3 linked regions of the Rhinolophus ferrumequinum genome follow. The protein of the gene in region 1 interacts with the protein of each later gene in a pairwise test. Links are inferred from orthologs where the notes say so. Each region holds a gene or a part of one and is shown in the gene's direction. Other genes may lie near its edges.

Region 1 (3,748 bases):
AACCAATGGAGAGTTTTTCAGGGTCTGAGCGGGACTGGAGGGAGGGCTGATCTTGGGGTGACAGGTCATGCGCCGGACCCAGGTTTGAGGGTGACCGATCACAGGGGGCTTCCGGATTCCAGGCGGGCTGGTCATGGGCGTCAAGTCTGGCAGAGTGTTCAGGTACTGCCAGGAGCTGCTCGTGACAGAAACCAGGTGTGAGGGGGCAGGTCAGGAATGGGGCTCAGAGAGTGTAAGACACCAGCTAGGCAGGTCCCGGGGGTGAAGCGCCGGGTGCAGGAGGCCCGGCGGCGAGGGCCTGGTCCGCGGCCGTGGGCTCGAGGAGCCGAGGGGCAGGCACGGCCCGTGAGCGCCGCGAGGAGGCCCTCCGGCCCCGGCCCGGCCCGGCGCTCACCTGCAGCACCACCTCTACGTCGTACGAGTTCCCCTTGCTCTTCTGGTGGCCGCGGAACTTGGAGCCGCTGTAGAGCAGGCTGGTGGCCACGCCGGGCTGCTGGGTGTTGATGGGCGGCGGCGGGATGAGAGAGGCCGCGGAGGCGGCCGAGGCACCGGCCGGCGGGGGACACTCAGTGCGGACCGGCATCGCGGGGTCCCCCGGAGCCAGGGCTGGGGGAGGGGGAGAGGAACCGCCGCCGCCGCGCGGGAGCCGAGGAGGGTGGCAGGGAGGGAGGGGCCGGGGCGCGCACGCGCGTGGTTGGGGCGGGAGGGTGGACCACCCGCCCGCTGCCTGCGGACCAAGTGCTCCGGCCGCCACCTGGACCCCGGGACCTGCGAGGAGCGCCTCCCCGTCCTGAGCTGAGTCCCCTTCCTCACTTGCCCTAGCGCACCCACACACACAAACATACACACACACGCGCGCGCGCACACACACACTCACACACGCGCGCACACACACACACGCACACACACACACACACCACCCCTTCCGATTGGCCCGGGCTCGCCAGCGGGGAGGGAGCAGGCTCACGCGGCGCTTCCACCCATTGGCGAGAGGAGAAAAACACGTGGCGGGGTGCGCGAGGCGCCCTCTGGGACTTGTAGTCTTCTTCCCGCAGCGCGGCGTGAAGGGGGCGGGGCGAAGTGCATTTGTGATGCTGATTGACTGAGGGTGTGCGCAGGAGGCGCGCGAGTGACGGCACGCCGTCGGTGTCATGCGGAAGATGGCGGCGTCCAGGGGAGTCTGAGGGCTCTAGAGAGGCGGTGAGAGGTTTCCGTACAGCCGGAGCGTGCTGTTTGGGAAATCCGTTCGCTCCGTTTCCTGCTCTCAGGTTTCCCATCCGTTGCCCTCCCAGGCCCTCGGGCGCGATGTGGAGGAGCTGCCCCCGCCTGCGGAATTGGGGGCGCCGTCTCCTGAACTGGTCCCCAGGTGGCCCCACGACCTCCGTGGGGCCGGGGCCAAACACTCTGTCCCCATCCCGGGACTACGCTCCCCCGGCAGGTGAGGTAGGCCAGGGCATATACGCCCTTTGGCCAGGGGCCGAGCCGGGCTAAGGTGGGCCGAGGGGTTCGGCCACGCCAGGTGGGGTAACCGAGGCAGGGCTCAGGCTCATCGGGTTACACAGGCCAATGGGGTTACAGATTAGGAAAAAGAACTCCAGACCAGGGCAGGGACACCCCGAGGGCACAGATCGCACACATCGCGTCACGGCTCGGGACAGTAATTGACATTTGGCACGCATAGCCTTTCTCAAAGTTTATGGCTTTCTTCTCTTTAATAAGGAAAGCAGATGTCATCCTCGTTTTTAGACGGAAATTCGGGTTCTGGATCAGCACTACTCCAAGGTCACAGAGCAGACTCAGAAGTTAGGGGAGGACCAGCGTTGGCCTGTCTGACTGCTTAGTGTGTCCTGGGAGCCCGCACAGTAGGGGTGTAGAACCCAGGCATTCGGTCTTGCATCGCCGCCTCCCTGCCACTGCCACTCTGCTAAGCATTTGATCGCTATACGCGTGCATCCTTCTACTCCTGACTCTGATGAGGCGTAGCAGAAGGTAGTGACTCCTTCATTGCTTCTGGGGAGAGGTTTTAGGGTAAGAGTGGCAGTGACCGAAATGAGTGAAGAGTAGTAACTCTCTTTCCATTCAGTTTTTCTGTGCTGAGGACAGGAGGCATGGTGGTCCTCACGACACAGATGTGGTCCCACCTGAATGATGGTCATTGTCAAGTGCAGAAGGTTATATCCTGGTTAAACAGTAGCTTGCAATGCCTTGATCAGGGAAGCACAAAGGAGCTGTGAAGTACAAAGAAGCACCTACTCCCATCTTGGGGCTGTTCATGGTCTAGAAAGACCTTGACTTTTTGAAAGGACATTTAAGCTGAGAGTTGATAGATGAGTAGAGGAGGAAGAGAGTTGGGCAGCTAGAACACATCCAGAGGGGACAGTGGGGTGTGAGGGGTGTTGCTGCTGTAGCACTGCCTCCTTTAGAAAACCTAGAACGCCACAGGCAGTTGGGCATCATGGCAGGAGTACAAATCTGGGGTCTGATACTGGCTGAACCGCTGAAGTCCTGTGTGAGCTCCGGCCTCATTTTCCTGTGTGAGTTGAGGGACTAGGTTGCCTCCGAGGTTTCTTCTGTTAAGTTCTATCATTTTATACGAATGTGGAAGAGGGTAGATGCAACAGGGATCTGAGGTTTCACCCATCAGGGCCAGGTGAAGGGCCTGGAGGTGGGCCATGAAGAGCCAGTAAAGAAGGAGGGGCATCTGACAAGTGGGATTTATGATAAGAAATATATGTATTTCGCCTTTATGCTCTTCCTGGCACACATCTCCTAAAAGCCAGAAGAGCTGTGGGAGAATCTTTTGTTAAAATATTTGGTCTTTTGTCCTCACATAACTCCAGAGTGATAAAGATGAAAGGAGTGTCTTTTGTTATTCATAACAAGTCTCTTTCAACCACACCTGAGTTTGTGTCAGTTAGGTGACTTTTGGAAAACCTCTAAGGATGGGGACTGGTTGCCAGGGGAACCAACCCGGTGATTTGGAGGGTTGAACTTTCAGCCCTACCCCCTGACGTCCGTGGAGGGGAGAGGGGCTAAAGAGTGACTGTGGGGACCGAGTCCCAGAGAGCAGTTTCCAGGCCCTTGGCCTCACATGGACAGGTGCTGGCTCTGTTATTAGATGGCCATCAGCTGTAATCAGGTGGCCATCCGCTGTGACTGGGTGGCCATCAGCTGTTACCGGTTAGCCGTAGCCACTAATATAAATGCCGTAGCTACGTTGGTTGGCAGGGAAGCAGACAGCAGATTGCGGCTCCTGTGTCTCCCACCCTGTGTCTCCAACCCAGCCGCCAGCGAGACGATAGTGGTATGACTCCCCTATCTATGGCTCCGTGGGTGTTCCTTTTTGGCCTCAGCATGTCCTGCGTTCTGGTGCGGGGAGCGGGACCAGAGGCCCTGCATGCCAGTGACTGCATCACTAATGGCTTGTATGCCTACCTAAGGAAGCTTCCCTAAAATCCCTGAACTACGGGTTCTGACAGTTTCAGAGAGCTTCTGGCTTGGTGAACAGGTAGAGATGCTGAGAGAGTGGCGTGTCCAGAAAGGGCGTGGAAGCTCCTGGCCCCTTCCCACATACCTTCCCTTGTGCATCTCGTCCATCTGGCGGTTCCTGACTTGTATCGTTTTATAGTAAATTGGTAATCTAGGAAGTGAAATGTTTCCCTGAGTTCTGTGAGCTGCTCTACCAAATTAATCAAATCTGAGGAGGCATCATGGGAACCTCCTATTCATAGCTGGTTGGGTTGGTCAG
Region 2 (3,748 bases), on another chromosome or scaffold:
AGAGTCCCCAGGAAACACTTTTCAAATGTATTTTATGGAGAGTAGAGTATGCACCTTCCTATACATCTAGTGTATACCTGTCTCCTAGGAGTTGTGCAGGAGAGAAGACCCATTTTCCATTAACTCCCATATTTTCATTTTGGTACCTTTATTTGTAACCATGCTAGTCCAGGGACACTCTGTTTTAGTCTCCCCAGAGAATAAAGCTCCAGTGTTCTGCCAAGATGAAGGATGGACAGTTAGACCCCTGCTGTTTTTAGCCCCACCCTAACTCTACTTCCAAAGATCCATTACATCATCACCAGTTCCAGAGCTTATTTGGGCTGGCACATTGTGATTTCTGTCACTCCTTGACTTTCCCCATTGCTAGCTTAGGATCCAACTTTCCCTGGTCATGTAACCTATTCACTGCTCTCTAGTTTTCTAAATTTGGTTGCAATTTTCCCGTTTCTTTGTCCTTGTGGTTTTATTGTTTTTAAAAGAAAAACTTTATTGTCATTTTAGTGAGGCTTTATGAGGGAGAAATGGTTAAATGTACGCAGTCAGTTCACCATCTTTAATTTGAAGCCTCTCATTTTAAAAATAATATACTAATGGGTATTTTTTAATACCCTGTACTAAATTCTTGACTAAAGTAAAGTAGGAAATTGAATCTAATAGATAGATAGGAGATGGTAAAGCTATAGCTTTAATTCTTTTCTTATTTTGCCTGCTTTCATAGAATAAAAGATTTGATATTTCTACCTATTTTGTTCTAGAGACGTTAACAAAGGCTTTACTATTTTTCTATCAGTGATCTTTATGCTTTCATTATTATAGCCATATAAAATCAACCATAAATATTGTAAGAGCATTTTGTGTAAGAGATTTATAACACTTTCTTACAATGGTTTCGGTAGCCTTATTCAACTGTATCTCCTGGCATTTTCAATAACCCTCTTAATATATTCTGTCATCCCCATCTGTTTTGATTTAATGTTGATTACACAGACATGCCGTGCTGCGAGAAGCCACCTGATCACTTCAGCAGTATGTTATGCGTGCATTAGACTCAAGGTATTTTCAGAAATGAAACATAAAACTGCTATTGTTAAATTATATCCATTTTATTAGGTTTCTCCTGGGTAAATTATGTAGCCCTTCAGAAAATAAAACATCAGACATATTCAGAGACAATCACATCACTGGGTTTTAAAACCAGTTCAATTTAACCTGCCACTAATTCCCTAACCGGCAATTCTCTGAGTGCATCCCTAGGGAAAATATATTGAACACAGTTGAAGGTTAAGGCAGAGGAGTCACAGTGAGACTAGGAGGCAGCCAATCAGATGGCGAGGGTCTAAAGATCTGATGCCTCCAGGCAAACACCAAGCTGAGCTGCTTAGTCTCCTTTCATTGCCGACGAACACCACATACATGTCGTAAACGCTCCCTGTGTGGGCAGCAGCCACCAAGCAGACCCTGTAGCTAAGAAGAGAGGGATACATGCCCCAGCAACTCAGTCTGCACCACAGCCGACAAGACAGCGATATCCCTGTGCTGGAATGTTCTCATGCAAAGGTATGGGTTCTTTTTCATTGAGTTGCTATATTTCTTAAGGATTACGGAAAGCAGAGATGCTGGTGCTGGAGGAAGATCTCTCTGCTTTCTAGTAATGCTTTGTTCCTGTTCTCAGTGTAAATGCCAGCCTTTGAAGATGGGTAACCTCTGGGGGAGACGGTAATTAGCAGAATAAAGGAACACTTTACGTTGCTTAAGCTGACTGTGTACAGACCTTTATTAGAACAGACTCTTTGTTATTGTTGCTATTGTTCTGAAGGTAAACTGGCTAAAAATGCAGCTTTAAATCATCACATTCTGCTACGTCTATAACTAAAGAGACCCAGGGAAAGAACTAGGGGGGCGGGAGGGGGCAGGGAAAGTAGGGGGGCTACATGTCTTGAAGGTTGCTGCAATTTATCTAGCTGTCTACCAGCCTCAGAGAGAAAAAGGACCACACTGCTGATCTAAAGTAGAGAAAGAGAATTTTGTCACTGAGGGTTCCTCTATGCTTTTGACACAAGTTTTATAAAGAACACTTTGCATATTCTCATCGGCTTAATAATTAAGATGCCTTAATTATCATTTATTACTGACAGCTGGTGTAATCATCTAACAGTCATCCGCATATTAGCAGCTCTTGTTTTAGTGGTCCAGGTAATAGGAAGGATAATTTAATATGTTACAGAGTAACAAAAGACCCATGAGAAACATATTGCATTAGGTGAGGCAGGAGATTGCTTTGTGGAGCATTTATGTTTTGGAGTGAGTCCCTTCTTTTGTCTCTCGTCTGCATCAATTATCTGTTAGAAAGAATGGATAAAACAGGGACTTCCATCATGTACCATGTGTTTAGAGTAACACAATTATTTCTTCTGTACATTAGGCAATAGTTAATTTATGTCTAAGACATTAAATAGTTAGCCATATGGAAAGGTTTCACTGGTAAGTTGTTCATTATTCTCCACGGGACATTGGAAATCACACATCAGTGGATTATCAATGGTGGCCTGAATGAAGTTGAGATAAACTGTTGTCCCAGGGAGCAGAAATGAATACAAGGTATACTTGGCTTCATTTTCCAGTTATCTCTCAAAAGCATGGCTCATTAACATTTTAATCTTCATAGTTAATTATCAGGGCGAGCGTTTTCATATCACATCTCTGAAAGCTCTCCTAAGTAATGCAGATTCTTTGTGTAGTTATTTTTTTAAAGAGGGGAAATATTTAGGCAATGGTTATAGTTTCTAAATTGCCAGGACACTGGTATTTTTCATTCTTGTTTTTATTCATTTATTTATTATTTATGGTCTGTGATGTTAAATACACTTTGCCCCTGTAACATCGTCAGTTATGCTATTATGATACACTTTGTGACTTTCAGTTTCTCTAAATATTTACAAGGTACATGATTTTATTTACAAATGTCACATAAGTAAAACTAATATGTATAAATAATATTTAAAAATCACTATTTAAACTTGAAAATTCACTATATTTAGTTATATATAACATATAATTAACGATAATAAAATATTGTAAAAATTAAAATTCTAAATTTTAAGATTTAAAAACTCAATTCAAATAAAAATAAGAATATTTTTTCATATATGTTAAATTTTTTGATTTATTTATTTCTATATTTAAAAGCTATTGCTTTGGAGAGGGTGAAATTAACTAATTAATGGGATGGCCATAGGGAGTTTATTAGTAACTTTGATGAATGGGAATGAGAATATAGGAATTAGTAGTATTTTGCAGAAAAGAATACAGAAGGATAATATCTTGTGTACTTGAGCTATGAGAAGTGTTCAGACACCTGAGATGATACAAAATTTATTTCTATGAAAGGAAGAATAAAAAGAACAGTCAAGATGTAATCTTAGACAATAGGGTTAGAGTCAACAAAGCCTTTTAAGACATCAGAAGATGGCTTAAAGGGAATGAATGAAAGCAAAAGGAGGGGCATTGCACTCTGAAGCAGCGTCGGGAGAAAATAATGGACCTAGACTGGCCTTTGGCACCAGACAGACCTGGATGAAATGCCAGCGCTGCCACCTACTCCCTGTGTACCCTGGGTAAATTAGCCCCACCCGGCTGGTTTGTGAGAGTGAGAAGGAGTCCACATAATTATAAGTAGTTCACGTAAATATGAGAAGGGTGTAATTTAAAAGATATGATATCAAAGTCGATTGTGACCCTGTTAGGA
Region 3 (3,748 bases), on another chromosome or scaffold:
TAGAGCAATATAATGCTTAAAAGCCTAATATATTCATGAAGTCTCATTTTAGGAGCCAGTATCTAAATATGAAAATTATTTACCAAAAACAGTTGGTATTGACAAACAAGCACAACGTAACTTTAAATAAAAGATGAGATTTGTTAAAAGATCAAGATTTTTGTGTGTACCGATTCCATGGCTCAGTGTTGTTGTTGTTTTCTTCCATCAAATTTAGACATCATCTGGAAAATACCCTGAAAACAAAATCCATCAACTGTAATCTATTTCCTTCACTCTCTTGTGAAATCATTAGAAACACGGATTGACTCTGTCACCTGTCTTCCCCACCCTGTAACCTCTTAAGGGAAAGAGCAAACATCTGTCAGCTCATAGTGCAGAAAGCACACACAGATAGGTGTTTAATAAATATCCTTCAACACAGAGATTAGAGGATTGCTTCGGGAAGCAGGGAACACATTATCTTCTGTGTTGAGCTTATGACATACAATATGTCAGTTTCCTTATCGAACTATCATCCAAAGGAAATCCTTTTTGAATCTCCTTTATGTAGGGCTGTAAGTTTGAAGACCCAAAAATTAGAGGCAAGATCCGCCCTAGGCAAGGAGTGGTTGGGAAGAACAAGTAGAATTCAGGAGTTTCAGTGACGTCAGGAGGAAGCAGCGATTTAAGGGGTGGGGAGCAAACTCACCTGGAGAAGCAGAAGCTGCACTCATATCTCTAGGGTCAATGGGCATAGCCTCAGGGGCTCCCCAGACGCGGGAAAAGAGAACGACCTCCAAGGCTCTCACCTTCAAGGATTGGGGCTCAGCTGTTCCTGCCTTTGACGCCAGGAACAAACCCTACCTTTCACTGCTGGAGCTGACAGAAAGGCAAAGCAAAAGCTACGCCAAATGTTAAAGCCAGCTCCCGGGAATCCCCCTGTACTTCTTTCCCCCACCCCCCTCCGGCGCCCAAAGCCACCGACACCTTCCCTCTCACTCTCCACCTTCTCCAGGCCCTCACGCTCTTAACAGCATCGGTCTCTATGGCAACCTGAAACCGCAGTTCCCATTGGCCCGTTCAATATGAGGGCCGGGCCAATAGGGAGGGCCAGCCTTTTCCTTCCGACCAATGGGGTTGGCGGGGAGCCGGTCTGGGGACGGCGGCGTGCTGACGTTCCCGGGAGCCCAGGGCTGGCTGGGCAGGCGGGCTAGCGGCTGGGCGGGCGGCGGCGGCCTCTGGGCAGCAGAGGGGGCTCCGGGGCTGAGTCTGTGTCGTTGCCGGCCGCAGAGGCGGCACCATGGGCACCGGGTAGAGGGGCAAGTTGGCCACCGCCGCCGCCGGGGGTGGTGGGAGAGCCGCTTCGGGGGAGGGGGCGGGTGGGGGAGGGAGGGGCGGGCAGCCGCTCCGCCACGGCACTTTTTTAATTTTTCGGGTGCCGTAGGGGCGACCCCTCGGCATTGCTGTCCCTGATCCCCGGAGCGACGACGGCCGCTGCCTGACCTGGAAAGTAAGTGTGCGGGCTCTCTGGAGAGCGCGGAGACTCCTGCCCACGAGACCCCCGGCCCTCGGCCCCTCGCGCCCCAGCCGGGACCTGCCTGCGAGGGGCACGGTGGGGGGACGGGCGCCTCCCTCCCGTTACTCCGTCCCCACCGCCTCGCGGCCGCCTTGGCTTTCCTGCCCCGCCTCGTGTTCCTGCCCGCACTCGCCTGCCTGCTCCCCTCCCCCCGGCAGGCGCACAAGTTTCACCCTCCATTTGCTTTTCCCGGTGATTCCTCTCCTCGGGTCTCCCCTACATACCGCGCGTGACCCCTCCCCACCTTGGCCTTTTCTCATCCAGAGCGCCCAGCCCTGAACTGGAGCGCCACGCCGAGCCCTCCTGGACGTCTGCCGGGAGGTTCCCCAGCTCCTGCCCGCCTGGCACGCCGCCCCGCGCCCCCAACACCCCGAGGCGCCCGCCTTCCCCAGCTTTCGGAGCCGTCTGTCCATCCCTCCCGCCCCAGATCTTGCATCCTGGCTCTCTCCCCTCCCTCCCACGCCCCTGCTGCCGCGCGGTCTCGCGTTTGCCCCCGGAGCCCCGCACTCCAGCGGGTCCTGCCCACCCGGCTCTGTCCAGTGCGCCCTTCTTTGCTCGCGGCGTTTGCTCACGCTCCACCCCTCCCGGTTCCCCAGCTCCGAGCTTCCCTGGCTATCCTCCTGCGCCGCCGCTTCCTCCTTTCCCTGCCAGTAGTTGAAGTGGAGCTGCGGCACCTCCCTGGCGGATCGGGTGTCCCTGCCCGGCGCTGGGGCTGCCCGGCCCTCTCCTTTTTACCCCCTACCGGGGAAGCGAGGGGGTGAGCCGCGGGGCCGGGGTTTGGCTGCATGTTGGCTGAGTGCGACAAACAGCGAGCGCGGGCACTGGAAGCGCCGCGGCGGCCGTGGCCGCTTGGGGAGCAGCAATAGGCAGGTGTCTGTGTCCGGGGGGGACGCACGCCGCGGGCTCGTCGGCTGGCGACAGATTGTGCAGGAATGCGAGGAATGCACCAGGGGCATAGTCCAGAGGGCCCGCCGCGGCTGCACTAGAGCCTTCCTGGCCCAGCTCCGGCCGCGCAGTCAGAGGTCACCGGAGCATCTTTGGAGCTGGTGAGGCTCGCTTCACTCCTCTCCTCCCCTTGCCTCTTCATGCGGCAGAGAGGGCGGCGGAGGGGAAGCGCGGCAGTTCTGTTGGGCTTCATCTAGCCTTTCGTTTGGGTTTTTGCTGCATTGGTCTCCAGGACCGTGAATTTGGGGCCAGTGGCAGTGTAGCTAAGGTTATTGATCACTGCACACGGTTCTTGGCAAGTTTGGTTTGCAAGGTTTTAATTGTGCCTGGTTTTTCCGGGGGTTTTATGAAAACCTGCAGGAAAGGGTGCAGAAGGTTCTTAGAGTAATGAGCTTGCAGCCAACGTTTTTTAGCTCTATCAAAAAATGTCTGTTAATGCTCATGGACTGCGATGTACTGCAAAAGAGATCTTGAATGCATCGCTTTGCTGTCATAAGAATTGGAATTTTTCTTGTCATACTGGGCTGTGTTTAGACCTCTTATAATATATAATGAGTAGAAACAGAGAAGCAGTGTTTGGTCAGCGATGGGACAGATAGAACTGTCTGGTACAGTTAAATTCGGGGCGTGTCAGTTACCATTGAAAGTAACACGGGGACAACACAATCATGTATATTTAAAGATGTAATTTATTAGTGGAGGTCGCAGCTTTTTGTTTTTTTTTTTCTGAGTTTGAAAAAAAATTAACACAGCCCTACAACTTTTAAAGAATGGTAATTATTATTGTGTAAAATCAATAATGATCAGTATACATTTTTGGTCAAATTTTATTTTCCTTAATGAAGAAAAGCAAATTTTTGACAGAAGATAATTTTCTAGAATTGATCTTAGATTCTTTTATTTTAAAAGGGAAGGTAGAAGACTGCTTCTCTTTTTCAATGCAATATGTTGCTATAGAAGTATCTTTTTGATGCCTGTGTAACAGTTATGGAAAATGGCAACCTGAAATGAGAACAACCGGTGTTTAAAACAAGTGTTTCTGATGTTGAAAAGCATACAATGTGTGCTTTTATTTGACACAGTTTGCTTTGGAGGTTGAGTTTACTATAAGCCTCTCCAAACTTGGTTATTTTGTATCAGATTCAGGAATATAAATTGGTTGTCTAGCTGTCTTCCAGCACTCACTTTGGGTGGATCAAGGGCATTCAAAAGTATAAGATGAGCACCTTTTAGTTAAGGACCTAA

Evidence for each region. The genes of interacting proteins can lie anywhere in the genome.
Region 2: the proteins of ATPAF2 (region 1) and SORBS2 interact in binary tests that used the Homo sapiens proteins (3 or more experiments, as listed by UniProt). The two-hybrid records come from large-scale screens. The link is inferred for Rhinolophus ferrumequinum from reciprocal best matches to the Homo sapiens genes ATPAF2 and SORBS2.
Region 3: the proteins of ATPAF2 (region 1) and PKP4 interact in binary tests that used the Homo sapiens proteins (3 or more experiments, as listed by UniProt). The two-hybrid records come from large-scale screens. The link is inferred for Rhinolophus ferrumequinum from reciprocal best matches to the Homo sapiens genes ATPAF2 and PKP4.

What each region holds. Positions count from the first base shown.
Region 1 is NC_046304.1:790,176-793,923, forward strand, and holds the start of ATPAF2 (ATP synthase mitochondrial F1 complex assembly factor 2), read left to right. Parts: upstream 1-1,115; 5' UTR 1,116-1,305; coding exon 1,306-1,438; intron 1,439-3,748. UniProt on the Homo sapiens protein: Plays a role in the assembly of the F1 component of the mitochondrial ATP synthase (ATPase).
Region 2 is NC_046287.1:76,148,793-76,152,540, forward strand, and holds the start of SORBS2 (sorbin and SH3 domain-containing protein 2), read left to right. Parts: upstream 1-1,443; 5' UTR 1,444-1,560; intron 1,561-3,748. UniProt on the Homo sapiens protein: Adapter protein that plays a role in the assembling of signaling complexes, being a link between ABL kinases and actin cytoskeleton. Can form complex with ABL1 and CBL, thus promoting ubiquitination and degradation of ABL1.
Region 3 is NC_046291.1:63,590,387-63,594,134, reverse strand, and holds the start of PKP4 (plakophilin-4), read left to right. Parts: upstream 1-1,231; 5' UTR 1,232-1,492; intron 1,493-2,185; exon of another isoform or gene 2,186-2,604; intron 2,605-3,748. UniProt on the Homo sapiens protein: Plays a role as a regulator of Rho activity during cytokinesis. May play a role in junctional plaques.